Linked DNA regions of Anolis sagrei. The protein of the gene in region 4 interacts with the protein of the main gene of each other region in a pairwise test. Links are inferred from orthologs where the notes say so. Each region holds a gene or a part of one and is shown on either strand. Other genes may lie near its edges.

Region 1 (8,213 bases), on a different chromosome or scaffold from region 4:
GGGAAGGAATCCCATTGGAGCATTGAAGCACACCCAAATACCTGGGAGTTGCTCTGGACCATGCTCTGACCTACAAGAAGCACTGCTTGACTATCAAGCAAAAACTGAGTACTAGAAACAATAACATACAAAAGCTGACTGGCAGAACCTGGGGATCACAACCACACACAGTGAAGACATCTGCCCTTGCACTTTGCTACTCTGCTGCTGAGTACACATGCCCAGTGTGGAATACATTTCAACATGTTATAAGAGTGGACGTGACATCACAGAATGTCTATGCTTTACACCACTGGGGAAATTATGTTTACCCAGTATTGCACCACCTGATATCCTCAGGGAAGTAGCAGCTAGTAATGAAAGGATCAAGACATTGACATCTCTGGCCCATTCTCTGTTTGGATAGCAGCCAGCATGCCAATGATTTAAATCAAGAAACAGCTTTCTAAGATCTATGGAGATACTTGCAGGAACACCTCAACAAGCGAAAGTGCAAAAGTGGCAGGAAAAAAAATGGAACTTCAATCACTTACTGATACCCAATGAGAAACTCCCTCCTAGGCACATAGAAGACTGGGTGACTTGGAAGGCACTGAACAGGCTGCACTCTGGCACCATGAGATGCAGAGCCAACGCTAAGAAATGGGGACTCAAAGTGGAGTCCGTGACATGCGAGTGTGGAGAAGAGCAAACCACAGACCACCTGTGGCAATACAGACTAACCTCGGCCACATGTACAATGGAGGACCTTCTCACAGCGACACCAGAGGCACCCCAAGGGGCCAGCTTCTGGCCAAAGAAAATTTAGCATAATGCCAAGCTTTCTAACTTTGTTTGTGGATTTTAAAAAATATTATAACTGTATTCTCAATTTTCTTCTGACATAAGTAAATAAAAATAAAATAAATCTGATTGTGTCTTCCTGCCTAGCAGAATGAGGTTGGACTGTATGCCCCTTTGTGGTCTCTTCCAACTCAGGATTCTATTGCCTCCGTGAACCTAATGGTGTCTACGAGGTTTCATGGTCATCTGTCAGGAGGGCTTGGATGGTGTCTTCCTGCCTAGCAGAAGGGGTTTGGGCTGCATAGCCCTGGAGTCTTTTCCAACTCTAGAATTATATGATCCTACAATTTTGGAAACTTGAAGTTGGGTTTGGAGACCACTGCTTTGGCCTATGCTTGTAAGTCTTGCATGCAATGTTGGAAAGATCATAGATAAACCTATCAAAAAGTAAACAAGCAAGCAAGCGCCCCCCTTGCCCCAACTCCTACGGACTCGCTGGCCTGTGAGGACTGCTGCCGGGCCAAGTGACTCTGCTTGGCCTGCCGCTCCATCTTGGCCTCGATCTCCCGCTTCTTCTGGGCAATCAGCTTCTCCTGATGGAGGATGTTCACGTTGGTCTTCATCGACTTGGGCATGGTGACGCCAAACCACCGGCTGACTTTGCCTGGTCAAACAGGAGAAAGGAAAAACATGGGAGGCTCAAGGCTCACAAAAACCACACAAAGAGATTGAGGTTTCCCTCCTATCAACATGGGCATATGTTGCTGAAGGCTTTCATAGCCAGAATCACTGGGTTGCTGTGAGTTTTTCAGGCTGTCTGGCCATGTTCTAGTAGCATTCTCTCCTGACATTTCGCACACAGCTGTGGCTGGCATCTTAAGAGGTCTGTTGGAAATGTACTGGATGGGGTCGCACTCCCCTTGAAGGCGTAGGTTCGCAGCTTGGGTGTGATCCTGGATTCATCGCTGAGCCTGAAGCCCCAGGTTTCGGCGGTGACCAGGGGAGCATTTGCACAGCTTAGGCTCGTGCGCCAGCTGCGCCCGTACCTTGGGAAGTCTGACTTGGCCACGGTAGTCCACGCTCTGGTTACATCCCGTTTAGACTACTGCAACGCTCTCTACGTGGGGTTGCCTTTGAAGACGGCCCGGAAGCTCCAACTGGTCCAATGTGCGGCAGCCATGATACTAACAGGAGCGGGACGCAGGGAGCATACAACCCTCCTGTTGTACCAGCTCCACTGGCTGCCGATCTGCTACCGGGCTCAATTCAAGGTGCTGGCATTGGCCTATAAAGCCCTAAACGGTTCCGGCCCAAGATACCTAACTGACCACCTCTCGACCTATGAGCCCACGAGGACTTTGAGATCTTCCGGGGAGGCTCTGCTCTCAATCCCGCCTGCTTCACAGGCACGGCTGGCGGAGACGAGAGATAGGGCCTTCTCAGTAGTGGCTCCTCGGCTGTGGAACACCCTTCCCGTGGACATCAGACTGGCTCCTTCCCTGATAATATTCCGCAGGAAATTAAAGACCTGGCTGTTTAAGAAGGCGTTCGAACAAGAAGTGCAATGATTGGTAATTGACTATAGGAATGGAACAACGGATAATTATACTGGATTGTGGTTTTGATGATGAGACGACGCGGAATGGCTTTTGTAGTAATGATGATGTTTTCTGATGATGATGTTTTTTTGTTAATGATGGACTGTGGATTATTTTATATTGTGTCTTGTATTCTGAACCTTGTTCTTTCTATGTTGTACGCCGCTGTGAGTCGCCCCTGGGCTGAGAACAGCGGTATATAAGCAAAGTAAATAAATAAATATATAAATAAGGCAAGTGGCAAGTGGCAGGCATATGAATAGCCTTCCACTGAATAGCCTTGCAGCTTCAAAGCCTCGCTGCTTCCTGTTTGGGGGAAATCCAGTTATTCTGGCCATGAAAGCCTTCGATAACACAATGAGGGAATGGCCTAGACAACAAGGCCCTACCTGAGAGAGGAAGCCTGTTGATTTCACGGGAGAAAGGCAAAGGAGCTTCTAGGGAGGCCAGGTGGGCCATTGGGACCCACCTGGATGGAGGTGGGAGGGGCGTGTAGGGGAAAAAGACTCACCTGGCGCTTCTCTGCCTCCTTCCATGTCTCTCAGGAAGTTCCTTTTCTCCCACAATGCCGCACGCGCACCAGCCCAAGCTCTTAATAGAATTATCTGCCAACTCTCGCGAGAAGACAGCATTTCTTGTCTCCTCCCCCCAAGCCAAGCTCCTTTTGTGTTCGCTGAGATAAACAAGGGACCTCCAGACTACGCATGCGTCGCAGCAGAGCCCGAATTGCGCGTGCGTCCCAGCGCAGCCGTCCTCTCCTCCGATTGGCCAACTCGGCAAGGACGGGTTTTTTCGCAGGCGCAGTGGCCGTCATTCGGGTCTTCGGCTGAGGTAAATCCAAGATGGCGGCGGTGGGAGCTTCGGGAGCGGAGACGGCGGTGTCTTCGGCCTCGACGCCAACGTCGACGTCGTCCGCAGTGGCGGTGGCTCCGTCTTCGTCGGCCTCGGCGCCTCAGCCTCCGGGAGGGAGTAGCGCGACGGCGCCACCTCAGCAGGCCGGCTCCGAGGCCGCTCCAGCCGGGGGCAACAACCCTGGCTCGGGCGGGTCTTCGTCCTCGGCTTCTTCCTCTGGCGGCGGGGCCTCGCCGTCCTCGTCGGAGTCGTGGTACGTGGCGCTGCTGGGCCTGGCCGAGCACTTCCGCACCTCCAGCCCGCCCAAAGTGCGCCTCTGCGTCCACTGCCTCCAAGCCGTGCTGCCACGCAAGCCCCCGGCCCGCGTCGAGGCCCGCACCCACCTCCAGCTCGGCTCCGTCCTTTACCACCACACCCGCAACGGAGAGCAGGCCCGCGGACACCTCGAGAAGGCCGTGAGTATTTCTTTACATGCTTTGCTGTCTGGTGATCTGGAAAATAAAGTAACCAGAAAGTGTTGGTTTCTAATATATGTAATTTCTTTGTGCTTGTGGGTAAACAGTATTTCTTGTTCTTTCTTTGTCAGTGTTGATGTGGAGAGTGTCTGGTTTGACTACTCTGGAACATGCAACATATAATTGTCCTTCTTTTGGAGGTCCCTTTCAAATCTATGATGCTATATCTGGTTTGTTTGTTTGTCGTGTCAGGAGCGACTTGAGAAACTACAAGTCGCTTCTGGTGTGAGAGAATTGGCCGTCTGCAAGGACGTTGCCCAGGGGACGCCCGGATGAATTGATGTTTTTATCTTCCTTGTGGGAGGTTTTCTCATGTCCCCGCATGAGGAGCTGGAGTTGATAGAGGGAGCTCATCCGCCTCTCCTCGGAATTTTTTATTTATTTCGTGTTAGGGCAGCCAGTCAATTATATCATATTTCTAACAGAACAAAGCAAACAAACAGACATAATACAAAATTTTTGAGTTTGGTAGTTGATTAAATGTCCTTTGACCAGTATCTGGCCACTTGGAGTGCTTCTGGTGTTGCTGCAAGAAGGTCCTCCATTGTGCATGTGGCAGGGCTCAGGTTGCATTGCAGCAGGTGGTCTGTGGTTTGCTCCTCTCCACATTCGCATGTCGAGGATTCCACTTTGTAGCCCTATTTCTGAAGGTTGGCTCTGCATCTCGTGGTGCCAGAGCGCAGTCTGTTCAGCGCCTTCCAAGTCGCCCAGTCCTCTGTGTGCCAGGGAGGAGTCTCTCATTTGGTATCAGCCATTGGTTGAGGTTCTGGATTTGAGCCTGCCACTTTTGGACTCCCGCTTGCTGAGGTGTTCCAGCGAGTGTCTCTGTAGATCTTAGAAAATTATGTCTACATTTAAGTCGTTGACATGCTGGCTGCTACTTCCCGGCGGATATCAGGTGGTGCAATACCAGCTAAGCAGTGTAATTTCTCCAGTGGTGTAGGGCGCAGACACCCCGTGATAATGCGGCATGTCTCATTAAGATTTGAACCTCATTAAGATTTGAACCTGCGACCTGTCGGTCTTCAGTCCTGCCGTCACAGGGGTTTAACCCGCTGCGCCACCGGGTTAAACCCCTGTGAATATATATGATTCACCGTGTGTGTGTGAATAATACTATGTATCTCTATCTGTGGCTTGATGGCTCTTTGTCCGGAGGGCTTTGATAATGTTTTCTTGCCTGGTGAAGGGAGTTGGACTGGATGGCCTTAAGTATTTTCTGTTGGTCATGGGGGTTCTGTGTGGGAAGTCTGTCCCAATTCTGTCGTTGGTAGGGTTCAGAATGCTCTTTGATTGTAGGTAAACTATAAATCCCAGCAACTACAACTCCCAAATGTCAAGGTCTATTTTCCCAAAACTCCATCTGTGTTTATATTTGGGCTTATGGAATATTCATGCCAAGTTTGGTCCAGATCCATCATTGTTTGAGTCCACAGTGCTCTATGAATATAGGTGAACTACAACTCCCAAACTCAAGGTCAATGCCCACCAAACCCTTCCAGTATTTTCTCTTGGTTGTGGGAGTCCTGTGTGCCACGTTTGGTTCAATTCCATCATTGGTAGAATTCAGAATGCTCTTTGATTGTAGGTGTACTACTATAAATCCTAGCAACTACAACTCCCAAATGACAAACTCAATTTTTTGAGTGAAGGACATACATTGGATTGTTAGGTGTATGCTGCCCAAATTTGGTGTCAATTCCCTCCTGTGGTTTTTGAGTTCTGTTAATCCCACAAACGAACATTATAATTTTATTTATATATATTTTACCCCGTTCTATCTCCACCCCGAAGGGGACTCGGAGTGGCTTCCAGTTTGGCAATCATTCAGTCAAACAAGGGGGACTGCCATGCAGGAAAAGCACAATCAAAGCACCCCCAACAGATGGCCACCGAGTTTTTGTAATAATAATAACAGGAGCAATCCCAGGGACCATTCAGTCCAACCCCCTTTATTCTGCCATCCAATCAAAGCACCCCCAACAAATGGCCACCTAGCTTTTGCAATAATAATAGTAATAGGAGCAACCCCAGGGACCATCCAGCCTTTGCATTATAATAGTAGTAGGAGCAATCCAAGGGGCCATCCAGCCTTTGCAGTAGTAATAATAATATTTGTTTATTTCCAGCATTTTCTACCCCATCTTACTCAACTCCCAGAGGGGTACTCAGGACAGCTTACACTTGTAATAGGAACAACCCCAGAGGCCATCCAGTCCAACTCCCTTTATTCTGCCATGCAGGAAAAGCACAATCAAAGTACACCCAACAAATGGCCACCCAGCCTTTGTAATAATAATAGGAGCAACCCCAGAGGCCATCCAGCCTTTGCAGTAATAATAAGAATAGTAATAGGAGCACCCCCCCTCCCAACAGATGGCAACCACCCTTTGTAGTAGTAATAATAAGAATAGTAATTGGAACCTGAGGCCATCCAGTCCAACCCCCTTTATTCTGCCAATCAGGAAAAGCACAATGAAATCATCCACAACAGATGTCTACCCACCTTTTGTAGTAATAATAGGAGCAACCCCAGGGGCCATACAGTCCAACCCCCTTTATTCTGCCATGCAAGAAAAACACAATCAAAGCACCCCCAACAGATGACCACCCACCCTTTGTAATAATATTACTAGTAATAGGAGCCATCCAGCCTTTGCAGTAATAATAATAATAATAGTAGCAGTAATAGGAGCAACCCCTGCGGTCATCCAGTCCAACTCCCTTAATTCTGCCATGTAGGAAAAGCAGAATCAGAGCACCCCCAACAAATGGCAGCCACCTTTGTCACCCCAGCGGCCACCCAGCCTTTAATAATAATAGTAGTAGTAATCTTTATTTATTTACCACATTTATATCCTGCCCTCTTCACACTGGAAGGGGACTCAGGACAGCTCACAACAAAGGCACAATTCGATGCCTTGAACACATATAAATTAAAGCAACATATACTTTAAAAATACATTGTTAAAAATATCGCTTAAAACAATTACTTAAAATTGCATAATCCAAAAACATAATCCAGAAGCCTTTCCGATTATCATTTGCATTGTTTATTATTGCTCTAATAGGAATGGTAATAAGAGCAACCCCAGGGACCATTCGGTCCAACCCCCTTCTGCCATGCAGGAAAAGCACAAAGCACTCCTTGAATAGTGGGAGGGAAATAGGGTTTGGGAAGCAAGCAAAGCAAGGGAGAAAGGATCTGGGCAGCGAGGAGGGTTAGGAAAACTTTTGGGAGCGGGGAAGCAAGGAAAAAAGGTTTTGGGTATGTGAAGGGGGAGGGAAAGGAACTGGAAGGGGGAGGGCAAGGAGGGATGAATGGAGCCCCTCAGTATAGATTTATAGAGTTGGAAGAGACCTTGTGGGCAATCCAGTCCAACCCCCTGCGAAAAAGCAGGAAAATCGCATTCAAAGCACCCCCGACAGATAGCCATCCAGTCTCTGTTTAAAAGCCTCCAAAGAAGGAGCCTCCACCACACCACAGTATGTAGAGTACACTTTGAAAACCACTGATATGGATTATAAGCACCAAGGATAGTCGTACCATCATATTTCCCATGTATGGAATTGAGACCTCAACAATGAAGAATGCTGATACGAAAACATTTCAGTTGTATATCTTTGCATTTCAGATTCTTATCTAGTTGTTTCATCGCTGTCTGTCTGAAAGTGCATCTAGATCACAGAATTAATGCAGTTTGATACCAGTAGAATTGCCATGGCTCAGGGCTATGAGATAATGGTGGTTGTAGCTCCTTTTGCATAGATTCCAACAATGTTTTGTTTTTCTCTTTTACAGTGGCTGATATCGCAGCATGTATCCTTTTTTGTCCTAGTCTTAGGAAAGCTGAGATTGTCCCAAATTGACTTTTCACCCAAAATTAGCATGAGATAATTATACATGAACAAAACACTCACTGATTCCACATGTTGGTCCAAGTTATGAGAAATGTCATTCTTCTGTTTATTTTGGGAATCGCCTCTGCATTATAGTCTCAATATATCCCTTCCTTGGAAGCATTTAAGCAGAAGCTTGTCTCTTTTGAGGCAGATGTTGCATTTACTATCAACACGGATTGGGTGTCCTTCAAAGTCCTTTGCAGTTGTAAAACTGCACAGTTCCAATACAACAAGCAAACAAGAAAATAGTATGTTAGCTTAACATATGAATGCTACCAGATCCCACAGTTTGAAGATGTTAAATTTGAAGCCGCCAGCCTTTTGTCTGAGTTGTATTGCCAAGAGGTAGGTGGAGATAACTTTTTGTGCCAGTAGTTTGTGAGAGTTGTGGTTAAAGGAGGTTTAAACAAATGCCTCATTTCAGTGCAAAATGAGTCAAGACAGTGTTGCTTTGAGGTTTCCAGGCTGTCTGGCCATGTTTCGGGCTGTTGGGGAACTCCTTCACCCACCCGTGGTGGAAGAGACCTTCGATGACCCAGCAACTCGGTGTTGTGAGTTCGCA
Region 2 (7,757 bases), on a different chromosome or scaffold from region 4:
TCTTCTTATTATTATTATTATTATTATTATTATTATTATATATTATTATTTTCTGATTTGATATTCTGGGTTATATGGCTGTGTGGAAGGGCCCTAAAACTTACACAGAACCATTGATAAGTAAAAAAGAGAGGCTGCATTCTTTACACCAACCATATCGGCCTGTGACCACTCATGTTGCCACCAAAAACTAAATGCAAATGCTCACAGTATAATAGTAGTAATAATAATAATTGTGACGTCAAGGAGTATTTTGCTCCAGAACTCTGTCAGTCTGAATTCGGAAGTCCCAGATGAGTTTGACGTGTTTGTTTAGTGTAACTTGTGATCCCACCAGTTCTTTGTCGCAGGCAGATGGTCTTTGTGGCACAAGTTCCAATTAATCATCTGAGCAATGGTGTTATGCCTCTGCTTGTAGTCTGTCTGCGCAATTTTCTTGCAGCAGCTCAGGATGAAATCTATTGTTTCATCGGCTTCCTTGCAGAGTCTACACTTGGGATCTGTTGTCGACTTTTCAATTCTGGCTTTGATGGCCTTGGTTTTAATGGCTTGTTCTTGGACTGCCAGAATCAGGCCCTCCTTTGTCTCCTTTTTCAGAGTCCCATTTCTGAGCCACAGCCATGTTTTTTCTTTGTCAATTTGGCTCTCAATTTTTCCCAGGTATTGTCCATGGAGAGCCTTCTTTGGTCAGTTTTCTCTTCTGCTCTGGATTGTGTTTTTACGGTATTCCCTCTTTGTCTTTTGCACTTGAAGCGGTTTACTACTCTTGACTTCCCTCAATGTTGGTTCTTGACTGCCTTTCCCATCATCTGCCAGGGCATGCTTCTCTTCTTCTACTGTTTGTTTCACTTGCAGAAGCCCACTCTCTGCCTCCTGATTTTCTGAGCAGGTCAAGTTTGTTGACATCACTATGCGGGTGTCATGAGGAGTGGATTGTCATCAGTTTCCTGGTTTTTCTGTCCAGATCATCCAGCTCTGCTTGTGTCCAGTTCACAATCCCAGCAGTGTATCTAATGACAGGGATGGCCCAGGGGTGAGAGCCTTGATCGTATTTCCGCCATTTAACTTGCTCTTCAAAATCTTTCTGACTCTTTGGATATATTCTTTGGTGGCCAACTTTTTCACATGCTCATGCCTGATATTGTCTAACTATAGTATCCCCAGATATTTATAGGCTTCGGGCTGATTGCACTTTATGGTTTGTCCGTTTGGCATCTCAATTATTATATTATTATTTGAAACACAAGAAGCCACTCTGCTGGCTGTTGTATTGGATCACACGTTGGACACTTCCCAAGTGTCTAGGACGGTGTGATGTATTATTATTATTATTATTATTATTATTACTACTACTACTAGACGGTGTGATGTATTATTATTATTATTATTATTATTATTATTATTACTAGAAACACAACAAGATGAGTCCACAACAGACACTCTGCTGGCTGTTGTATTGGATCACACGTCGGACACTTCCCAAGTGTCTACGACTGTGTGATGTATTATTATAATTTACTCATTTAGAGAATAAGGAGAAATTGCACATCTTCCTACAGAGTTCAGATTAAAACTCTATTTTAAAATTGACCCTGTTTACGCAAAAAGCACTGGCCATCCACGAGAAGATGGAAGCAGATAGAGGTGACCTTGCTGCCATCAACAAAATTCAAGCTTAAAAACTTAATATGGACATGCCACTAGTTTTACCTACCCGCGCCCCTGCCCAAACCCTACTTTAAGGAATTAATCAATTTTTAATCTTTTATTTTTTTTATCTTGTAGTTGCACAATCATTTAGGAGTGGGTTGACAGGCTAGTAGGCCGGGATGCCTTGTATTCATATATGGTTTTACTGTATGTATGGGCAAGTGTGTATGTTTTGTATGTTTTGATATGGTCAAAATTGACTAATCAATAAAGAATTATTGTTGTTATTATTATTATTATTATTATTAGAAACACAAGAAGATGAGTCCACAGCAGACACTCTGCTGGCTGTTGAATTGGATCACACGTCAGACACTTCCCAAGTGTCTAGGACTGTGTGATATATTATTATTATTATTATTATTAGAAACACAAGAAGATGAGTCCACAGCAGACACTCTGCTGGCTGTTGTATTGGATCACATGTCGGACACTTCCCAAGTGTCTACCACTGTGTGATGTATTATTAATATTATTATTATTATTATTATTATGTATTTATTGTTATTATTATTATTAGAAACACAAGAAGATGACTCCACAGCAGACACTCTGTTGGCTGCTGAATTGGATCACACGTCGGACACTTCCCAAGTGTCTAGGGCTGTGTGATGTATTATTATTATTATCATTTGAAACACAACATGAGTCCACAGCAGACACTCTGCTGGCTGTTGAACTGGATCACACATGTCGGACACTTCCCAAGTGTCTAGGACTATTTATTATTATTATTATTATTATTATTATTATATTTATTATTAGAAACACAACAAGATGAGTCCACAGCAGACACTCTGCTGGATGTTGAATTGGATCACACATGTCGGACACTTCCCAAGTATCTAGGACTATTTATTATTATTATTATTATATTTATTATTAGAAACACAACAAGATGAGTCCACAGTGGCTGTTGAATTGGATCAGACGTCGTACCCTTCCCAAGTGTCTAGGACTGTGTGATGTATTATTATTATTATTATTATTATTATTATTATTAGAAACACAACAAGATGAGTCCACAGCAGACACTCTGCTAGCTCTTGAATTGGATCACACGTCAAACACTTCCCAAGTGTCTAGGACTGTGTGATGTTATTATTATTGTGGGAGAAATGTCAGGAGAGAATGCTTCTGGAACGTGGCCCGGAAAACGCACAGCAACCCACTAATGGCACCTGGTTGTCTCCCACAAGAGAAGATTCTCCTCTAAAGGCGTTCTGAACCTGCCACTGCCAGGCAGGCCTCTCCATCCCCCCCTTAGGTGAGGGCCCGGCTCTGAGGGGCTCCTCAGGCCTTGCCCCTTTTCCCTCAGGAAGGAGCCGGGCCTTCCTCCCCCTGAGGCGCCTCCGCGGCCTCCCCGCCTGGCTCACCCGTCCTCGGAGTCTCCTTCCGCCTCCTTCCCGCCTCCTTCTCCTCTCCAGACCCGCTCCCTCGACGGCGCTGCGAGGTCGTCGCCCAGCGGAAGCGGAAGCTGCTTGCTGGAGGCGTACGTTTTCCCTACTCTCGCTCGGAGGCGGGACTTCCGCGGCCAGGAAAGCCCCGCCTCTTCCGCCGCAGCGGGGTCGCCATGGCGACGCGGCTCTGATTGGCTGGAGGCGCTCTCCTTTTCTTCCAATAGTTAAGCCTAGTCTGTATGTCAGGCCAAACTTGGGCCTTCCTCCCTCAAATCCTAATAGACTGTAAAGAATGGTGGGAGTTGAAGTCCAAAACACATGGAGAACACCTTCCCCTCCCTTCTTCCTTTCTTTCCTTTCTCTTCCCTTCGTTTTCTCTTTCTTCCCTCCTTCTTTCTTTCTTTCTTTCTTTCTTTCTTTCTTTCCTCTTCCCATCTTTCTTTTCTTTTTCTTTCTTTCTTCCCTCCCTCTCTTCCCTTCTTTTTCTTTCTTCCCTCCCTCTCCTTTCCTTCTCTTCCCTTCTTTTTCTTTCTTCCCTCCCTCTCCTTTCCTTCTCTTCCCTTCTTTTTCTTTCTTTCTTCCCTCCCTCTCCTTTCCTTCTCTTCCCTTCTTTTTCTTTCTTCCCTCCCTCTCCTTTCCTTCTCTTCCCTTCTTTTTCTTTCTTTCTTCCCTCCCTCTCCTTTCCTTCTCTTCCCTTCTTTTTCTTTCTTCCCTCCCTCTCCTTTCCTTCTCTTCCCTTATTTTTCTTTCTTCCCTCCCTCTCCTTTCCTTCTCTTCCCTTCTTTTTCTTTCTTCCCTCCCTCTCCTTTCCTTCTCTTCCCTTCTTTTTCTTTCTTTCTTCCCTCCCTCTCCTTTCCTTCTCTTCCCTTCTTTTTCTTTCTTCCCTCCCTCTCCTTTCCTTCTCTTCCCTTCTTTTTCTTTCTTCCCTCCCTCTCCTTTCCTTCTCTTCCCTTCTTTTTCTTTCTTTCTTCCCTCCCTCTCCTTTCCTTCTCTTCCCTTCTTTTTCTTTCTTTCTTCCCTTCTTTTTCTTTCTTTCTTCCTTCCTTCTCTTCTTTTTTCTTCCCTCCCTCTCCTTTCTTCCCTTCTTTTTCTTTCTTCCCTCCCTTTTTTCATTTTCTCTTCCCTTCTATTTCTTTCTTCCCTCCATCTCCTTCCTTCCCTTCTTTTTCTTCCTTCCCTCCCTCCTTTTTCATTTTCTCTTCCCTTCTTTTTCTTTCTTCCCTCCCTCTCCTTTCCTTCTCTTCCCTTCTTTTTCTTTCTTCCCTCCCTCTTCCTTTCTTTTTATTTCTTTCTTCCCTCTACTTACTTTCTCTTTGCTTCTCCCTCTTGTTTTGTTTTTGCTTCCCTTTTTTCTTTCTTCCCTCCCTTTCTCGTTTTTCTTTTTCCCCTCCTTCTTTCCCCTTCCCACCTTTCCTTCTTCTCTCTCTTCCTTTTTCTCTTCCCATCTTTTTATTCTTCCTTCTCTTTCTTTCCTTTCTCTTCCTTTTTCTTTCTTCCCTCCCTCTCCTTTCTTTCTCTTTGCTTCCATTTTCTTTCTTCCCCCTTATTTCCTCTTCTCATCTTTTTCTTTCTTCCCTCCCTTTCTCTCATTTTTTTCTCCTCCCTTTCTTTCCTCTTCCCATCTTTCTTCCCCTTTTCTTTCTTCTCTCTCTTCCTTTTTTCTGTTTCTCTTCCCATCTTTTTAATTCTTCCTTCTCTCTTCTTTCCTTTTTTCTCTTCCCTCCCTTTTCTTCATTTTCTCTTCCCTTTTTTTCTTTTCTTCCCTCCCTCTCCTTTCTTTCTCTTTTGCTTATTTTTATTTCTTCCCCCTTACTTTGTTTTTTCCCATCTTTTTCTCTTTCTGCCCCCCTCTCCTATCTTATCTTTCACTTCTTCTTTATTCCCTCCCTCTTCTACTCATTGTTCCCTCCCTCTTTTCTTCTTCTTCTCATCTTTCTTCCTTCCCTTTTTCTTTTTCTTCCCCCCTCTTTTCCTTTTTCTCTTTCCCTTCCCATCTTTTTAATTCTTCCTTCCCTCCTTTCATTTTCTCTTCCCTTCTTTTTCTTTCTTCCCTCTCTCTTCATTCTTTATCTTCCCCTCTTTTTTTCTTGCTTCCCTCCCTCTTGTTCCTTTTGTTCTTTCCTTCCCGCCATTTTCTCTTCCCTTTTCTTTCTTCCTCCTCCTCTTTTCTTTCTTTTTCCTTCTTTTTCTTTCCTCTTTCCTTTCTTCCCTCCCCTTTTTCTTTTCTCTTCTTTCTTTCTTCACTCCCCTTTCTCTTCCCTTTTCTTTCTTCTCCTTTTCTTTTCCCTTTCCTCCCTCTTCCTTTATTTTCTTCCCCCTCTTTCTTTTCATTTTTCTTCCTTCCCTTGTCTTTCTTTTCTCTTCTTTTTCTTTCTTCCCTCCCTCTTTCTCTTCCTTTCTCTTTCTTTCTCTTACCATTATATTGTAATATTATTAGTAATATTACATGGAGCATACATATATAATTATGATATATTATTTTTATTAGTATTATATTGCATTACAATATTATAAATATTCTATGTATATAATTTTAACAAATTGCTAAATATTACTATATTGTACTATACCATTGTAATATTATTTGTAATATTACATTGAATATAAATATATAATATAATAATTATTAGTAGTATTATATTGTATTACATTATAATATTATAAATATTATATGTATATAATTTTAACAAATTGCTAAATATTACTATACCATTATAATGTAATATTATTAATAATACTAAATGTAATATAAATATATAATTATAATATCATTATTTTATTAGTATTATATTGCATTACATTATAATATTATAAATATTATATGTATATAATTTTGCTAAATATTACTATATTGTATTATACCATTGTAATATTAGTAATATTACATGGAATATTAATATATAATTATGATATATTAATTTTATTAGTATTATATTGCATTACATTATAATATTAAAAATATTCTATGTATATAATTTTAACGAATTGCTAAATATTACTATATTGTATTATACCATTATATTGTAATATTATTAGTAATATTACATGGAATATAAATATATAAATATCCTATTATTAATAGTATTATATTGCATTATATTATATTATTATAAATATTCTATGTATATAATTTTAACAAATTGCTAAATATTACTATATTGTACTATACCTTTATTTTGTAATATTATTAGTAATATTACATGGAATATAAATATATAATTATGATATATTATTTTTATTAGTAAAATAATAATATATAATTATATTAAAATTATTATTAGTAAAATAATAATATATAATTATATTAGTAGTAGTAGTATTATATTGCATTACATTATAATATTATAAATATTTTATGTATATAATTTTAACGAATTGCTAAAAATTACTTTATTGTACTATACCATTACATTGTAATATTATTAGTAATATTACATGGAGTATAAATATATAATTATAATATTATATTATTATTAATAGTAATGTATTGCATTACATTATAATATTATAAATATTATATGTATATAATTTTAACGAATTGCTAAATGTTACTATATTGCACTATACCATTATATTGTAATATTATTACTAATATTACATGGAATATAAATATACAATTATAATATCATATATCAGTAGTAGTATCATATTGCATTATATTATAATATTATAAATATTGTATGTAAATAATTTTAACGAATTGCTCCCCTTAAAAATCAAACACCATGAGGACATCCCACTAGAAATCCCACAATCACCAAGTGATTTTTCACAAGGGCTTTATTGGCGTCATCATTTTTCAGACTGTAAAAAGAAACCAAGATACTCTGATGATTAAGGGGGTTCAAAACAATCCCACCAAAAGGAATGCGCTGTTAGGTCTCCAATACGGAAAACCCTTGAGTTCAGCAACCCATCCAAGGGTCTGCGCGATTCTTGCGTGCGATGAAGCTGATCTTCCGAGCCATTTCCGTGTTATATATATTCCGGCACGCTTCGTAGGTCTCCCGCTGCCTCCTGCGGCACGGCTTCTCGTAATACCGCCGCCGCTTGGCTTCGTCGATGATCCCATCCATGGTGAGGACCCTGGAGAAGAGGAGAAAGGAGACCCCTTGTCAAAGAGCACAGATCGAGTCGGATGCTTACTTGCCTTCCCTCCAGACGCAATAAGAAACAACAACACCCCCTAAATGTATATACTATTCTGTATTTTTTCTGCATGAGTCAACAGTGTGATGCAGCAGCTGAAAAGGCCAATGTGATTCTAGGATGCATCAATAGACGTCTAGTGTCTAGATCAGTGGTTCGTCAAGGGACCACCTTGACGAGGGACCACCTTGGCGAGGGACCACCTGACCAGGGACCACTTTGATCAGGGACCACTTTGATCAGGGACCACCTTGACCAGGGGCCACCTTGACCAGGAGCCATTTTGACCAGGGTCCACCTTGAGCAGGGTCCACCTTGAGCAGGATCCACCTTGAACAGGGTCCACCTTGACCAGGGACCACCTTGACCAGGGATCACTTTGACCAGGAGCCACTTTGACCAGGGACCTCCTTGACCAGGGACCCCTTTGACCAGGGGCCACCTTGACCAGGGACCACCTTGACCAGTATCCACCTTGACCAGGGACCACTTTGACAA
Region 3 (7,790 bases), on a different chromosome or scaffold from region 4:
CTGAGGAGACCACACACTGAAGATGAGTGAACAGTGTGATGCAGCAGCTCAAAAGGCCAATGAGCTTCTAGGCTACATTAATGGGAATACAGTGCCTAAAGTAAAGGTTTTCCCTTGATATTAAGTCTAGACGGGTCCAACTCTGGAGGATGGTGTTAATCTCCATTTCTAAGCCAAAGAGCCAGCGTTGTCCATAGACACCTCCAAGGTCCTGTGGCTGGCATGACTGCATGGAGTGCAGTTATCTTCCTGCTGAAGCAGTACCTATTGATCTATTCACATTTGCTTGTTTTCAAACCGCTAGGTTGGCGGAAGCTGGGGCTAATAGCAGGAGCTCACCCTTCTCCCCGGATTCAGACTGCCAACCTTTCGGTCAGCAAGTTCAGAGCTCAGCAATTTAACCCGCTGCACCAATGGGGGCTCTATACAATACCTAGATCAAGGGAAATTATAGTCTGCCTCTATTTTGCTTTGCTCAGACCTCATTGGGAAGACTATATCCAGCTCCACAATTTAAGAAGGATTTTGAAAAGATGGAAGCAATCCATTGAAGGATGACCCAAATAGTCAAAGGTCTAGAAGCCAAGCCCTATGAGGAACGGCTTATTGATTTATTTACAATATTTCTATCCTGCCTTTCTCAAACCCGAAGGTAACTCAAGGCAGCTTACAACCAGGCAGCTATTCGATGCCTAACAATTAACAGAATTAAAAATACATTCAATAAAACATACAAAACCAAGGTCTTCACTGTCCATAAATCGTCATCTTAGACGTTCCAATGTCCACTTTCGTCTAATACCGTGTTTGACTGTTGCATTAAATTCCGAAGGCTTGTTCAAATAGCCACGTTTTCACTTTTTTTCTAGAAGGTCAAGAGGGAGGGGGCTGATCTAATATCCCTGGCAAGGGTGTTCCACAACTGAGGGGCCACCACTGAGAAGGCCCTGTCTCTCATCCCCTCCAGTCACGCCTACGAAGAAGGCAGGATCGAGAGCAAGGCCTCCCCGAACGAACTTAACCTCTTAGATGGTTCATACGGAGAGATATGTTCGAACAGGTAAGCTGGGCCAGAACTGTTTAGAGCAGGGGTCCTCAAACTTTTTAAACCGGGGGCCAGTTCACTGTCCCTCAGACCGTTGGAGGGCCGGACTATAGTTTTTTTTAAAAAACATCAATAAAAAAATTCCTATGCACATTGCACATATTTTATTAGCCCTCTTTAGGCAGTAATTTCAGAAGCAGAAAATGGGAAATCTTCCTATTTCTAGTCTGAACAAAATCTGGCTAACAGTATTTAAAAAACTCTAAAATTATAACTGTAAATAAAGAACAACACTCAAACACAGGGGAACTCCAGACAAGAAACAATCAGGGCCAGCTAATCACCTCTCAACAAAGGATTCTCCCTAAAAACTGTCAGGTTATGAAATGGTAATCAAGGTGGCCAATTGAAACATTGATACCTACCTCCAACAGACAAGAGTTCTTTCTCCCACCCTGGATCTTCCACAATTTTCCTAGTTAAAGGTTTTCCTCTGACATGAAGTCCAGTCGTGTCTGACTCTGGGGTGCGTGCTCATCTGCATTTCTAAGTCGAAGAGCCGGCGTTGTCCGTAGACACCTCCAAGGCCATGTGGCCGGCATGACTGCATGGAGCGCTGGGGCAGCATCCTTGGCTGGCTCACGTTGCCCATCGGGCCTGACGGATAGCGTGAGCCTGCCAAGGGAGGAGCAGCCCCGCACGGCCTACTTGCGAGTAAAACACCTCACGATGTGCTTTACACGCAAGTAGGCCACGCTGAGCAGCTGCCCTTGGCTGGCTCACCCTGCCCATTGGGCCTGACGGATAGCGTGAGCCAGCCAAGGTAGGGGCACTGGGGAGGGGGGCGCTCCTCCTCCGCGGGTCGGATAAGTGCCCTTGGCGGGCCGGAAGTGGCCCATGGGCCGTAGTTTGGGGACCCCTGGTTTACAGCTTTATAGGATAAAATCAGCACTTTGAGTTATGCCTGGTAGCAAACGGGCAGCCAGTGGAGTTGGCGTAACAGAGGGGTTGTATACTCCCTGAATGCCACTCCAGAGAGCAATTTGGCTACCGCTCGTTGGATCATTTGAAGCTTCCGAGCAGTCTTCAAGGGCAACCCCGCGTAGAGTGTGTTGCAGTAGTCTATATGGGATGTAGCCAGCTTAGGGAGCTGGGAATATTTAGTCTGGACAAAAGAAAGCTAAGAGGGGAGATGAGGACCATGTTTAAATATTGGGAAGTTGGCCACATAACCTTGGAGGTGTCTATGGACAACGCTGGCTCTTTGGGGTGGGGGGGGGGGGAGTGATGCCATTTGGGAGTTTTAGTTGCTGGAATTTATAGTTCACCAACAACCAAAGAGCATCCTGAACTTCACCAATGATGGAATTGAACCAAACTTGGCACACAAAACTCCCATGACGAACAAAATATACCGGAAGGATTTGGTGGGCATTGACCTTGAAGTTTGGGAGTTATAGTTCACCTACATCCAGAGAGCACTGTGGATGCAAACAATGATAGATCTGGACCAAACTTGGCACGAATACACAATATGCCCAAATGTGAATACTGGTGGAGTTGGGGAAAATAGACCTTGACATTTGGGAGCTGTAGTTGCTGGGATTTATAGTTCACCTACAATCAAAGAGCATCCTGAACCCTGCCAAGGATAGAATTGGGCCAACCTTCCCACATGGAAACCAGATGGCCAATGCTGTGTTTTTGATAGTCTTTGGCGACCCCTCTGACACGTCCTTATGACCCCCCAGGAGTCCAGAGAAAGCAAAGGCCTTTTGGCTGGCTCATGGGCGAAGAGTAGGCCATCTGGCCTAGGCCCTCCCTCAGCAGGCCTCTCCCGTGCTGCCGCCCGAGGTCCCGCCTCCTCCACCTCCGCTTCCTTACCCTCCCGAAGCCCCGGGTTCGCGCTGCCCCGCGCCGCCCGCTGACATGGCTCACGCAGCCCCGCTTAGGCCGCCGCCACCGTCGCCGTCCCCAGCGCTGAGGGGGGAAGAAAAATCCCCTGCTACGTCACTTCCGACTCCTTGCAGGCAGCTTCCGTGATGTAACTTCCGGTAGTTGCCCTGGCGACGAAGAGTGACGCGCTTGTGGGCGGAGCTTCCGGTTTCTGTGGGATTTAAAGGGAAATCACTGAAGGAAAGGAAGAAAGGTATCCCTATACTAGCTGTCCCCTGCCAGGCGTTGCTGTGGCCCAGTCTGGTGGTCTTGAAAATGAAGTAATGAGAAAGTGTTGGTTTCTAATCTATGCCTGTGGGTAAACAGTATTTCTTTCTGTTTCTTTGTCAGTGTTGATGTGGAGATTGTCTGGTTTGCCTACTCTGGAACAGGCAACATATAGAATCATGTATTGCAACATATAGAATCCACCCTCTCACATATTTATACATGACTATCATGTCTCCTCTCAGCCTTCTTTTTTTCAAGCTGAACATGCCCAGCTCCTTAAGCCGCTCCACATAGGGCTTGTTCTCCACACCCTTGATCATTTTAGTCGCCCTCCTCTGGACACATTCCAGCTTGTCAACTCTCACATGTTTATACAGGGCTATCATGTCTCCTCTCAGCCTTCTCTTCTTCAGGCTAAACATGCCCAGCTCCTTAAGCCGCTCCTCATAGGGCTTGTTCTCCAGACCTTTTATCATTTTAGTCGCCCTCCTCTGGACACATTCCAGCTTGTCAACTCTCACATATTTATACATGGCTATCATGTCTCCTCTCAGCCTTCTCTTCTTCAGGCTAAACATGCCCAGCTCCTTAAGCTGCTCCTCATAGGGCTTGTTCTCCACACCCTTGATCATTTTAGTCGCCCTCCTCTGGACACATTCCAGCTTGTCAACTCTCACATATTTATACATGGCTATCATGTCTCCTCTCAGCCTTCTCTTCTTCAGGCTAAACATGCCCAGCTCCTTAAGCCGCTCCTCATAGGGCTTGTTCTCCACACCCTTGATCATTTTAGTCGCCCTCCTCTGGACACATTCCAGCTTGTCAACTCTCACATATTTATACATGGCTATCATGTCTCCTCTCAGCCTTCTGTTCTTCAGGCTAAACATGCCCAGCTCCTTAAGCTGCTCCTCATAGGGCTTGTTCTCCAGACCTTTTATCGTTTTAGTTGCCCTCCTCTGGACACATTCCAGCTTGTCAACTCTCACATATTTATACAGGGCTTGAATGATCTACGAATGGAACAAATCAAGAACTCTGGTCCAAAAGCAAGGCGCTGGCTGCTGGAGCTGATGAACAACTGCACGGCATCCTGTCAGATCCCCAAAATCTGGAGGAAAGCAAGAGTCATCGCCATCTTGAAGCCAGGCAAAGACCGTAATGATCCAAAAAGCTACAGACCAATCTCCCTGTTGTGCCACCTCTACAAAGTTCTGGAAATACTTATTTTGCAGAAAATAACGGAAAATATAGACCCCTGTCTGATCCCACAGCAAGCTGGCTTCAGGAAAGGCAAAAGCTGCACATCGCAAGTGCTGAACCTGACTCAGCACATAGAAGATGGCTTTGAAAGGCAGCAGATCACAGGAGCTGTCTTCATAGACTTGTCAGCAGCCTATGATACTGTAAACCACCGCCTCCTCCTGAGAAAAATGTATAATATCACAAAGGACGACCACCTCACCCGCCTCATAGGAAAGCCGCTACAAAACAGGAGCTTTTTTGTTGAGTTCCAGAGCCAGAGAAGCAGAGGGCGGAAACGGAAGAACGGCCTGCCTCAGGGGAGCGTGCTTGCTCCATCCATGTTCAACATCTACACAAATGACCAGCCACTGCCAGAAGGGACAGAGAGTTTCATCTATGCTGATGATCGTGCCATCACCGCTCAAGCAGGCAGCTTTGAGATGGTTGAACAGAAGCTCTCCGAAGCTCTAGGTGCTCTTACTGCCTATTACAGGGAAAACCAGCTGGTCTCCAACCCATCCAAATCACAGACATGTGCCTTTCATCTCAAGAACAGACAAGCATCCCGAGCTCTGAGGATTACCCGGGAAGGAATCCCACTGGAGCACTGCAGAGCACTCAAATACCTGGGAGTCACTCTGGACCGTGCTCTTACCTACAAGAAGCACTGCCTGAACATCAAGCAAAAAGTGGGTGCTAGAAACAATATCATACGAGAGCTGACGGGCACAACGTGGGGATCACAACCAGATACAGTGAAGACATCTGCCCTTGCGCTCTGCTACTCTGCTGCTGAGTACGCATGCCCAGTGTGGAACACATCTCACCACACTAAAACAGTGGATGTGGCTCTTAATGAGACATGCCGCATTATCACGGGGTGTCTGCGCCCTACACCACTGGAGAAATTACACTGCTTAGCCGGTATTGCACCACCTGACATCTGCCAATAGTGAAAGGACCAAGGCAGAGACATCCCCAGCTCATCCCCTGTTTGGGTATCAGCCAGCACGTCAAGACTTAAATCTAGAAATAGTTTTCTAAGATCTACAGAGACACTCGCTGGAACACCTCAGCAAGCAAGAGTCCAAAAGTGGCAGGCTCAAACCCAGCACCTCAACCAATGGCTGATACCAAATGAGAAACTCCCTCCTGGGCACACAGAGGACTGGGCGACTTGGAAGGCGCTGAACAGACTGCGCTCTGGCACCACGAGATGCAGAGCCAACCTTTAGAAATGGGGCCACAAAGTGGAATCCACGACATGCGAGTGTGGAGAAGACCAAACTACAGACCACCTGCTGCGATGCAACCTGAGCCCTGCCACATGCACAATGGAGGACCTCCTTGCGGCAACACCAGAGGCACTCCAAGTGGCCAGATACTGGTCAAAAGACATTTAATCAACCACCAAGTGTGCAAAGTTTGTGTTTTTCTGTTTGTTTTGTTTAAAAATGTAATATAAATGTCTGGTTGCTCCTGACACGATAAATAAAATAAATACCAATTATTTTATGAGATTATTCTCGGAGCTTGGGTTTGGATTTGTGGTCAACGTAAAGGCTTCCTGGACAGACATCTAAATAAACTGCAACCGGGTAGGAAAGTATTAATACTATTTAATCATGTTCGTACACCATTCTTGAAGGCAAGAACATTAAGACAGAAGGGAAGAGCAGCATGAATTTATCTGATGGAAAGTTCCCCACAATCGAGTCTGTTTACATGCTTCCTTTACATTATTTGTGATAAGGAACACGGACAGAAATGCATTGCGGAGGAGACACCACCAAAGTCAAAGGAACGACTCAGAGTGACTCACTTCCCTTGGTTTCACAGCTCAGGTTTATTTTAGCACCAGGTCCTTAGAACTCATGATGGAAAGCAGAGATACTCGCTACGTAGAGCTGATGCCTGTGCTTGTTTACAGCGATGTACATCCAACTGAATTGAATTGCTGTATGGCAGTGTAGTCGAACATGACCCCCCCCCCATAAGAGATAGTAACTTATAGTTTTGCCAAGGGCAAGGACACCAGGCTGGATAATAAGGGTTAGTTTGGTGTGTATCATTTAATCAAGGCTTTATGCTCTATTTTCATATGTTTACAGCAGAAAGTAACCAATTTATTACTGAAAATCATGCTACATGAAAATCATGCTACATGATGGTCCCCCATCTCACAAACAAGGGACTCTCTTTCCCCCTCGTGGATATATTTCCCTTTATGGACCTTCCTATGGATAATATGAACTATGGACACTGAGGGAAGGTAGCTGGGTTTACTCTCTGTGTTATGATTTCTATTGTTTCATATTTTCTCCTGTATTTCTATATTTCCCTTCGTGTATGCGCCCGTACCTTGGGAAGTCTGACTTGGCCACAGTAGTCCACGCTCTGGTTACATCCCGTTTAGACTACTGCAACGCTCTCTACGTGGGGTTGCCTTTGAAGACTGCTCAGAAGCTTCAACTAGTCCAACGTTCGGCAGCCATGATTCTAACAGGAGCGGAGCGCAGGGAGCATACAACCCCCCTGTTGCGCCAATTCCACTGGCTACCGATTTGCTACCGGGCCCAATTCAAAGTGCTGGCGTTGACCTTTAAAGCCCTAAACGGTTCCGGCCCAAGCTACCTATCCGACCGCATCTCTGCCTATGAACCCACCAGGACTTTGAGATCTTCCGGGGAGGCCCTGCTCTCGATCCCGCCTGCCTCACAGGCACGGCTGGCGGGGACGAGAGATAGGGCCTTCTCGGTGGTGGCCCCTCGGCTGTGGAACGCCCTTCCTATGGATATTAGACTAGCTCCATCATTAATGGTATTCTGCAAAAAAGTGAAGACCTGGTTGTTTGAGCAGGCGTTCGAATAGTCAGTGCAATGAGTGTAATGAACATAGGAATGGAACAATGAATGACGGATCTGGATCATGTTTTTAGTGATGAGACGCTAGTGAATGGCTATTGTTGTTAACTGTATATTATTGTATAATGTGTTATGATGTTAACTGTTTTTATACCGTGTTATTGTAGCATTGAAGTTTTGCTGTTCTGTTGTTAACCGCTGTGAGTCGCCTAAGGGCTGAGAACAGCGGTATACAAATAAAGTAAATAATAATTAAATAAATGTATTTGACCTTGCCCTGAGCCTTTTGCCCCCCTCCCCTCTCCTTTGGGGAAATCTACAATCCCTGCCTCTGGAAAAGCAATCAGCAATCATGAAAAGACCCTTATCTTTGGACATTCTTTGCATGGACAAGAGTAAAGGAAATCCTTTTGACTTCGGAGTTGGGCCACCATTAGGATTTCCGTTTGCCAGACATTTTAATCATATAA
Region 4 (7,702 bases):
TTCGAACCGGCAACCTTTCGGTCAGCAAATTCAGCAGCTCAGTGGTTTAACCCACTGTGCCACCGGGGGCTCCCGGTAAATAGTTAGAAGTTGGGAAATGCATTTCCAAAGGGCCATAACGTCAAGTGAGGATGCAGTGGTCACATTTTTAGTCCTACTACTTAGTCTCCTTACAAAGTGTTTCTTGATGGAGGATTCAGACACTTCATGTACCATGCCATTATTCCATTGTCTTCTCCAGCCAGCTGAGTAATTAGACTAGACCTGAGAAGGCATATGGCTGGGTACCATTGCTCACCTTGCTTTGATGCTTTATAAGAGTTCTCTCCCTTCGGCTTTTCACTCTAATCTTCCTAAAACTGGAGGGATTAACTGCACTGTTCTGAGGTCTCCAGATACTTTCCTGCAACGACCCAAAACATTCCCATGCCCTGCCCATGTCCCATATCTTTTACCTCATAGTTGTGCCAGGCTTTTTCTTTCATTTCTGTGTGCCTATTACTGGCACACAAACAGGATTCTTTGTTTTGCTGCCAATTTTTGGTCATTTTCATTCTTTTTTTTTTTTGCTCCTTTTGTGTGAGCACTAATCATATACAGACTTGGTGCAGGCTTTGTCAACTGAGGCTGTTCAGGTGTTTTGGACTATCAATCCCATCACTAGCAAGGTGAATAGTTGACTATGATGAAGACTGTAGTCCAAAGTATCTGGAGGATGTAATTTGAGGAGGCTGATCTGCACATTTATGTCTTCAAGATACCACTGCGGGTATGTATGACAAAGACTGAATACAAGGATGTCATCAGTTTGCCTCTGGTTTTTGGGAATGCACTCTTGTTATTCAGTGTAATTAATGGGTTGTTTCCACTGTGCCTGTAATTTTTAACCCTGCCCCCTTTCCTCTTGTGTTTAAAAATATTTAAAAAAATAAAAAGTTTCAAATTCTATTTACTAAGATTTAAATTAAACTGTGTTTTGAATAAAAGTGAACAATGTCTGTGATGTATCTATTTATCTATAAATTGGTATTTCACTGCCTCTTTGGGAATGAACAAGGAGATTGGATTGGAATTCACAGCCAAGTATGTATTTTCTAGAGATCCTTGGATAAGTTCGGATTTAGTTATCAAACTGTGAAATGAAAACATTAATAACCTGGCATCACAGTTGAATTATGAAGGTAACATACAATATTCTGAAAGGAACATAGCTGTACAAAACATTTCTGTAACTTCACTAGGTGCATTTCTGTAACTTCACTGAATGGCTCATATTTGGAAGTGACTGGCAATCCATACCGTATAAGAATGCAAAGCCTCTGTTGGGTTACAACTCCTAACAGCCTCAGCCAACACTGTCAACAATGAGGGATGAATAGTCTGAAATCAACACTTGGAGGTCTACATATTTCCTCCACCCTACAATGAAAGATACATCAGGCATCCTTGGAGATTCATAGCCTAGTTAATCAGGATATGCATGCCAAGGGATCCTTATGGCACCTTTGAGATTAAGGCCACATATACACTACTACAGTATACAATGCAGTTTCAGACTGCAGTTCAATGGCATTGAAGTGCATTATATGGCAGTGTGGACTCAAAAAACCCCCGTTCAATGCAGTTAAACTGCATTCTGAAACTGGATTCTATTGCAGTGTATATGGGGGCTAACTCAAAACATTGGTAGCATAAGCTTTTGTGGATCAAGGCTGCATCAACACTGCAGAAGTGCAACAGTTTGATACTGTTAGGGAAAACTACCCAAAAATATAGCAGAGCATCCAAAACACAAACAGGATACTTAAAGTTGAGCAATCAGCCCACAGCAAGCAAAGCATGAAGTTGGGTTGTTGTAGATTTTTTCGGGCTATATGGCCATGTTCTAGAGGCATTTTCTCCTGAAGTTTCGCCTGCATCTATGGCAAGCATCCTCAGAGGTAGTGAGGATGCTTGCCATAGATGCAGGCGAAACGTCAGGAGAAAATGCCTCTGGAACATGGCCATATAGCCTGAAAAAAACTACAACAACCCAGTGATTCTGGCCATGAAAGCCTTCGACAATACAAAGCATGAAGTGCCATGTGATGTGGCTGCAAGGAATTTAGAACTTATGATGCAAAGATGCAGAATCTTGTCTTTAAAAAAAATCACAAAAAGTTTAACTATATTTCTTAAAAGTAAAGAACTGGGTCTGAGCTACTCTTAACACCCATCTCGTCTAAGGTTTCAAAGAGAGGGAAAAATCATCAACCACTACATCTCTCTTGACATACAAAGATCTCAATACACACAGCATATTCAAAGATGTAAAAGTAGAAGGTAAGGTCTTCAGTAGAAAAGTATAAATTATACACAACCAATTTTAGCAGAAACAGAGGAGAGCACAAATAGTTACATTCCAACTGTCATATAAGAGACTTGGGGGGGGGGGGGGGGAGGAAACCCTCAGCCTATTCTAAGTTAATTTTTCCTCGTTGAGGACTGGAGACTTAGGCAGTGTGGGGTTGAATTGCCGCAATGCTATGGAATTCTGGGGTGTGTAGTTTAGCAAGGTATTTTTCTTTTCTTTCAGAGAGCTCTGGGGCTACAGCAAACTACAATATCTAAGATCCCATAGGTTGGAGCTGTGGAGATTAAAGTGGTGTCAATCTGCATTCATTCTACAAGTCCTAGTAGCACTTTAGCACAATTAACACTACTGCACACCGTACTTTAATCCCTACGCCCCTCCTATCATTTCAGCACTTTTAACCTTGTACCCCTCTCGCCGGCCGAACCAGTTTTAATATGTCTTGATGTATTGTTATTGCTGTCTTGCCAATTTTTGATTTTGATTTGCTTTTTGATTTTGATTTGTTTTGTTATTGCTTGTTATGTTCTCTATTGTATTGTGTTTTGTGGCTTCGGCCTTTGTAAGCCGCATCGAGTCCTTTGGGAGATGCTCGCGGGGTACAAATAAAGTTAATAATAATAATAATAATAATAATAATAATAAATGCACCCTTAATTTATTCCATCAGAAGGCACAAGATTCCTTTGGGTGTCTCCTATCTTTGTAGTTCTCCATATTTTAATTATGCAGAAGTTAGGTGTTTTTAAAATAATCCGTTGGATTGAGGTGGTGGAGGAATGTATATTTTATTTATATTTGGAGAATTTATATTTTCTCCATTTAGTAGCATAAACGACAGGAAGTTGCCCTTCTAAGATCCAGAAACCGGAAATGCTTAATTCATTTGGGGGAAAAGCAATGGCACCAAATATGAATTAAGCTAATGAAATAAAAGGCTGAATGCTTTTGGGAGAATATAAAAATAAATTATATATTTTTATATTATATTTTCCATTACTTCCACCACGTGGTGGACTGGCTCCCTTTTGTGTCCAAATTTCTCCCAAAAAAAAAAAGAGACCCAAAGCAATTAAAGGGCTGGGTTGCTGTGAGTTTTCCGGGCTGTATGGCCATGTTCCAGAAGCATTCTCTCCTGATGTTTCACCTACATCTATGGCAGGCATCCTTGCTGTGAGTTTTCTGGGCTGTATGACCATGTTCCAGAAGCATTCTCTCCTGATGTTTCACCTACATCTATGGCAGGCATCCTTGCTGTGAGTTTTCTGGGCTGTATGACCATGTTCCAGAAGCATTCTCTCCTGATGTTTCACCCACATCTGTGGCAGGCGTCCTCAGAGGTTGTGAGGTCTCTTGGAAACTAGAGAAATTGAGTTTATATATCTGGATGTTGCAATTGGCCGCCTTGATTCGCATTTAATGGCATTGGAGTTTCAAGGTCTGGCTGCTTCCTGCCTGGGGGAATTCTTAGTTGGGAGGTAATAAGCTGGCCCTGATTGTCGAAGGCTTTCATGGCTGGAATCACTAGGTTCTTGTGGGTTTTTTCGGGCTATAGGGCCATGTTAGAGGCATTTCTCCTGACGTTTCGCCTGCATCTATGGCAAGCATCCTCAGAGGTAGTGAGCTGGCCCTGATTGTTTCTTGTCTGGAATTCTCCTGTTTTTGAGTGTTGCTCTTTATTTTGATTTTAGAGTTTTTAAAATACTGGTAGCCAGATTTTGTTCCTTTTCATGGTTTTCTTTCAGAAATGAACAAAATCTGGCTACCAGCATTAAAAAAACTTTAAAATAAAAAAACAGGAGTATTTCTCAGGATGCCTGCCATTGATGTAGGCGAAACGTCAGGAGGGAATGCTTCTGGAACATGGGCATACAGCCCGGAAAACTCAGCAACCCAGCGATTCCGGCCATGAAAGCCTTCTACAATACAGGGTTAGTCAAAATGCATAGGCCAATAAGCCATTCAATTGAATGGCTTATTGGCCTATGCATTTTGACTAACCCTGTACATTCAACTAAAGGGCGTCTGGTGGAAAAACCCAATAGCCCCGGAACCAATCGTTCGCTTTCCCTATTGTCAACATAACACAATGCAGGGAGGAGCCAAGAGCATGCGACACTCGAACACGGGCAGAGGAAGTGACGTTGGGAGGAAAAACCCGAACCTCTCCGGAAAAAGCCGAAGATGCTTTACAGGCGGGAGTGAGACGAGGCGGAGCGACCGCGAGGACGAGAATCGTGAGAGGAGGCTCTCTCGAATATAGCCGAACATTTCCGTCAGCACACGAACCTTTACGGAAAAAGCCGAAAAGGGAGTGACCGAAGTAGAGACGCGCCTTCGCACGCAGCCGAGCCTTTCCGTAACCAACCGAAGCCCTTGCCGGAAGTTGCCGAACTCAAGGAAAGGCGCCGTTGCGGCCTACTGCGTGAGGCGGCGGTGAAGCAAGCGGGCAGAAGAGCCAGGCCGGGCTTGAGTCTTATTATTCCGTCGCCATGTCCGACTTCGACGAGTTCGAGCGGCAGCTTAACGAAAACAAACAAGGTAAGCGAGCGAACGAGAGAGAGAGAGAGAGGTGGGCAGGGCGTGAGGGCGTCGAAATCCCGCCTGCTTCGGACGCGCCCCCCTTGGTGAGAATGGAAGGGCCCGTTTACCTGAGGCGGGCGCTACCATATGGCTGGGCCTATGCGGCGGGGGAGGGGGGGCGGGTATTGTCCTTCTTGTTAGCCAACTTCGCCTTTCTCCTCTTTCGCCTGATTTCCCGGGAGGCGAGCTATGGAGGCAGGCATGGCCGTTGGTGGCTCTGCGCACGCCTTTAACGGGGCGGGAGAAGGGAAGGCCGGGCCTGGCACCATCGCTCTCCCTCCTGGCGCCTTTTCTTTACTCTCTGGGAAGAACAGGGACAAAGGAGGGCCTTGATCTGGCTGATTGGGAGATTGCCACGCGGGAGTACACCACCAAAGTACTCCCGACAGATGGCCACCTGCTTAGAAACCTCCACAGCAAGCCTGGACCAACTTGGGCCTTCCTCCAGGTTTTTTGGACTCCAACTCTCACAATGTTCTCTCGAGGAAGTAGACTACAGAGTCACGCTGGAGGATCCAGCATGAGAAAATCTCTCTAGGTCCTCCAGTGCATTTCTGTGGCCAGCTTTCAGCGGAATACGACCACAGAGTTGTGCTGGAGGACCTAGAAAACCCCTAGAAAGATTTTCCCGGGGGTCCTGTCCATCTTACCCCAATAATAATAGTAATAATAATACCTCCAGGTTTTTTGGACTCCAACGCTCACAATATTCTCTCTAGGAAGTTGAGTATAGAGTCATGCTGGAGGATCCAGCATGAGAAAATCTCTCTAGGACTCTCTAGGTCCTCCAGTGCATTTCTGTGGCCAGCTTTCAGCGGAATATAACCACAGAGTTGTGCTGGAGGACCTAGAAAACCCCTAGAAAGATTTTCCCGGGCGTCCTGTGTGTCTTACCCCAATAATAATAATAATACCTCCAGGTTTTTTGGACTCCAACTCTCACAATGTTCTCTCTAGGAAGTTGACTACAGAGTCATGCTGGAGGATCCAGCATGAGAAAATCTCTCTAGGACTCTCTAGGTCCTCCAGTGCATTTCTGTGGCCAGCTTTCAGCGGAATATGACCACAGAGTTGTGCTGGGGGACCTAGAAAAACCCTAGAAAGATTTTCCCTCAGGTGAGAAAAAATTGCAATTTTTCAATTTTATTTATTATTTATTTATTTATGGCATTTATATCTCGCCCTTCTCACCCCGAAGGGGACTCAGAGCGGCTTACAATATATATTTTCATACAATATATTATATTATTAGCATAGTACAATATCAGTATATATTACTATATTGCACAATACCGTTATATTGTAGTATTATTAGTAATATTACATGTAATGTAAATATATAATTATAATTATAATATTGAATTATTATTACTAGTATTATATTATATTACATTATAATATTATAAATATTATATGTATATACAATATACTATATTATATTATTAGTAAAGACAAGATGGAAGTGTCTTCTGCTGCCTTCTGTCTTTGCTCTGGCCAGAACAGCCGTTAGTGCCAGAAGGGGGAGGGGCCTCTCAAGTGATGATATAGGCAGAAGACAAGATGGAAGTGCCTTCTGCTCCCTTCTGTCTTCACCTTTTGCGGGGGTCCTGTGTGTCTTACCCCAATAATAATAATAGTAATAGTAATACCTCCAGGTTTTTTGGACTCCAACTTTCACAATTTTCTCTCTAGGAAGTTGACTATAGAGTCACGCTGGAGGATCCAGCATGAGAAAATCTCTCTAGGACTCTCTAGGTCCTCCAGTGCTTTTCTGTGGCCAGCTTTCAGCGGAATATGACCACAGAGTTGTGCTGGAGGACCTAGAAAAGCCCTAGAAAGATTTTCCCTCAGGGGAGAAAAAATTTGCAATTTTTCAATTTATTATTATTATTATTATTATTATTAACTTTATTTGTACCCCGCTAGCATCTCCCGAAGGACTCGATGCGGCTTACACAGGCCAAGGCCTCAATAAAAACAACAACATAACAATACAATGATGTCCTTGGGGAGGGTGTTCCAAAGTCGGGGGGCCACCATAGAAAAGGCCCTGTCCCTCGTCCCCACCAAACGCGCCTGCGACGCAGGTGGGATCACGAGCAGGGCCTCTCCAGATGAACGAAGGGAACACGTGGGTTAATAGACGGAGATGCGGGTGTCCTGTGCATCTTACCCCAATAATAATAATAAACTATTTGTACCCCACTACCATCTCCCCAAGGGACTTGGTGCGGCTTACATGAGGCCGAGCCCACAATACATCAGCAAAAACAACAATAGCAATACAAACAATCTGAAACTCAAAAACAAAAAACAGCAGTAAACATTAACAATAGCACAACAACACATTAAAACCTATGGCTGGGCCAAATGTAATAATTTTTTTTAAAAAAAATAATGCTGAGCATGACCAGGTGAAATATGTAACTAGGATAGAATTTCGGAGAGGAAAGGGGTGTGAAGACAATCCTAGAACATTGATAAAGTGCATTTAGGGACATATTGCTAGGAGTTTCCTTATTCTGGGAAGGCACACTAGAACAGCCATGTCTTCAGGCTCCTCCTAAAGACTGCCAGAGTTGGGGCATGCCTGATGTCCTTGGGGAGTGAGTTCCAGAGTCGAGGGGCCACCACCGAATGTAGAGGGGTGATTGTATTAAGATAAATTGGCTGAGAATCATGCATGAAGTGTTTTAAGCATTGAACCTAAATAAGTTACATAGTTGAAAATGTAATCTGTAGATACGCCAAATAAATTTACAGGCA

Evidence for each region.
Region 1: the proteins of U2AF2 (region 4) and SUGP1 interact in binary tests that used the Homo sapiens proteins (3 or more experiments, as listed by UniProt). The link is inferred for Anolis sagrei from reciprocal best matches to the Homo sapiens genes U2AF2 and SUGP1.
Region 2: the proteins of U2AF2 (region 4) and PRPF3 interact in binary tests that used the Homo sapiens proteins (3 or more experiments, as listed by UniProt). The link is inferred for Anolis sagrei from reciprocal best matches to the Homo sapiens genes U2AF2 and PRPF3.
Region 3: the proteins of U2AF2 (region 4) and KHDC4 interact in binary tests that used the Homo sapiens proteins (3 or more experiments, as listed by UniProt). The two-hybrid records come from large-scale screens. The link is inferred for Anolis sagrei from reciprocal best matches to the Homo sapiens genes U2AF2 and KHDC4.

The regions. Positions count from the first base shown.
Region 1 is NC_090034.1:50,625,205-50,633,417, forward strand, and holds the start of SUGP1 (SURP and G-patch domain-containing protein 1), read right to left. Parts: upstream 3,074-8,213; 5' UTR 3,014-3,073; coding exon 2,893-3,013; intron 1,448-2,892; coding exon 1,276-1,447; intron 1-1,275. Other genes in the region: MAU2 chromatid cohesion factor homolog, read left to right, coding at 3,224-3,688, 7,551-7,568, 7,931-7,996.
Region 2 is NC_090032.1:6,002,687-6,010,443, reverse strand, and holds the start of PRPF3 (U4/U6 small nuclear ribonucleoprotein Prp3), read right to left. Parts: upstream 3,210-7,757; 5' UTR 3,087-3,209; intron 1-3,086. Other genes in the region: MRPS21 (small ribosomal subunit protein bS21m), read right to left, coding at 7,016-7,196. UniProt on the Homo sapiens protein: Plays a role in pre-mRNA splicing as component of the U4/U6-U5 tri-snRNP complex that is involved in spliceosome assembly, and as component of the precatalytic spliceosome (spliceosome B complex).
Region 3 is NC_090032.1:14,755,395-14,763,184, reverse strand, and holds the start of KHDC4 (KH homology domain-containing protein 4), read right to left. Parts: upstream 3,074-7,790; 5' UTR 2,977-3,073; coding exon 2,930-2,976; intron 1-2,929.
Region 4 is NC_090026.1:17,873,582-17,881,283, forward strand, and holds the start of U2AF2 (splicing factor U2AF 65 kDa subunit), read left to right. Parts: upstream 1-4,543; 5' UTR 4,544-4,845; coding exon 4,846-4,894; intron 4,895-7,702. UniProt on the Homo sapiens protein: Plays a role in pre-mRNA splicing and 3'-end processing. By recruiting PRPF19 and the PRP19C/Prp19 complex/NTC/Nineteen complex to the RNA polymerase II C-terminal domain (CTD), and thereby pre-mRNA, may couple transcription to splicing.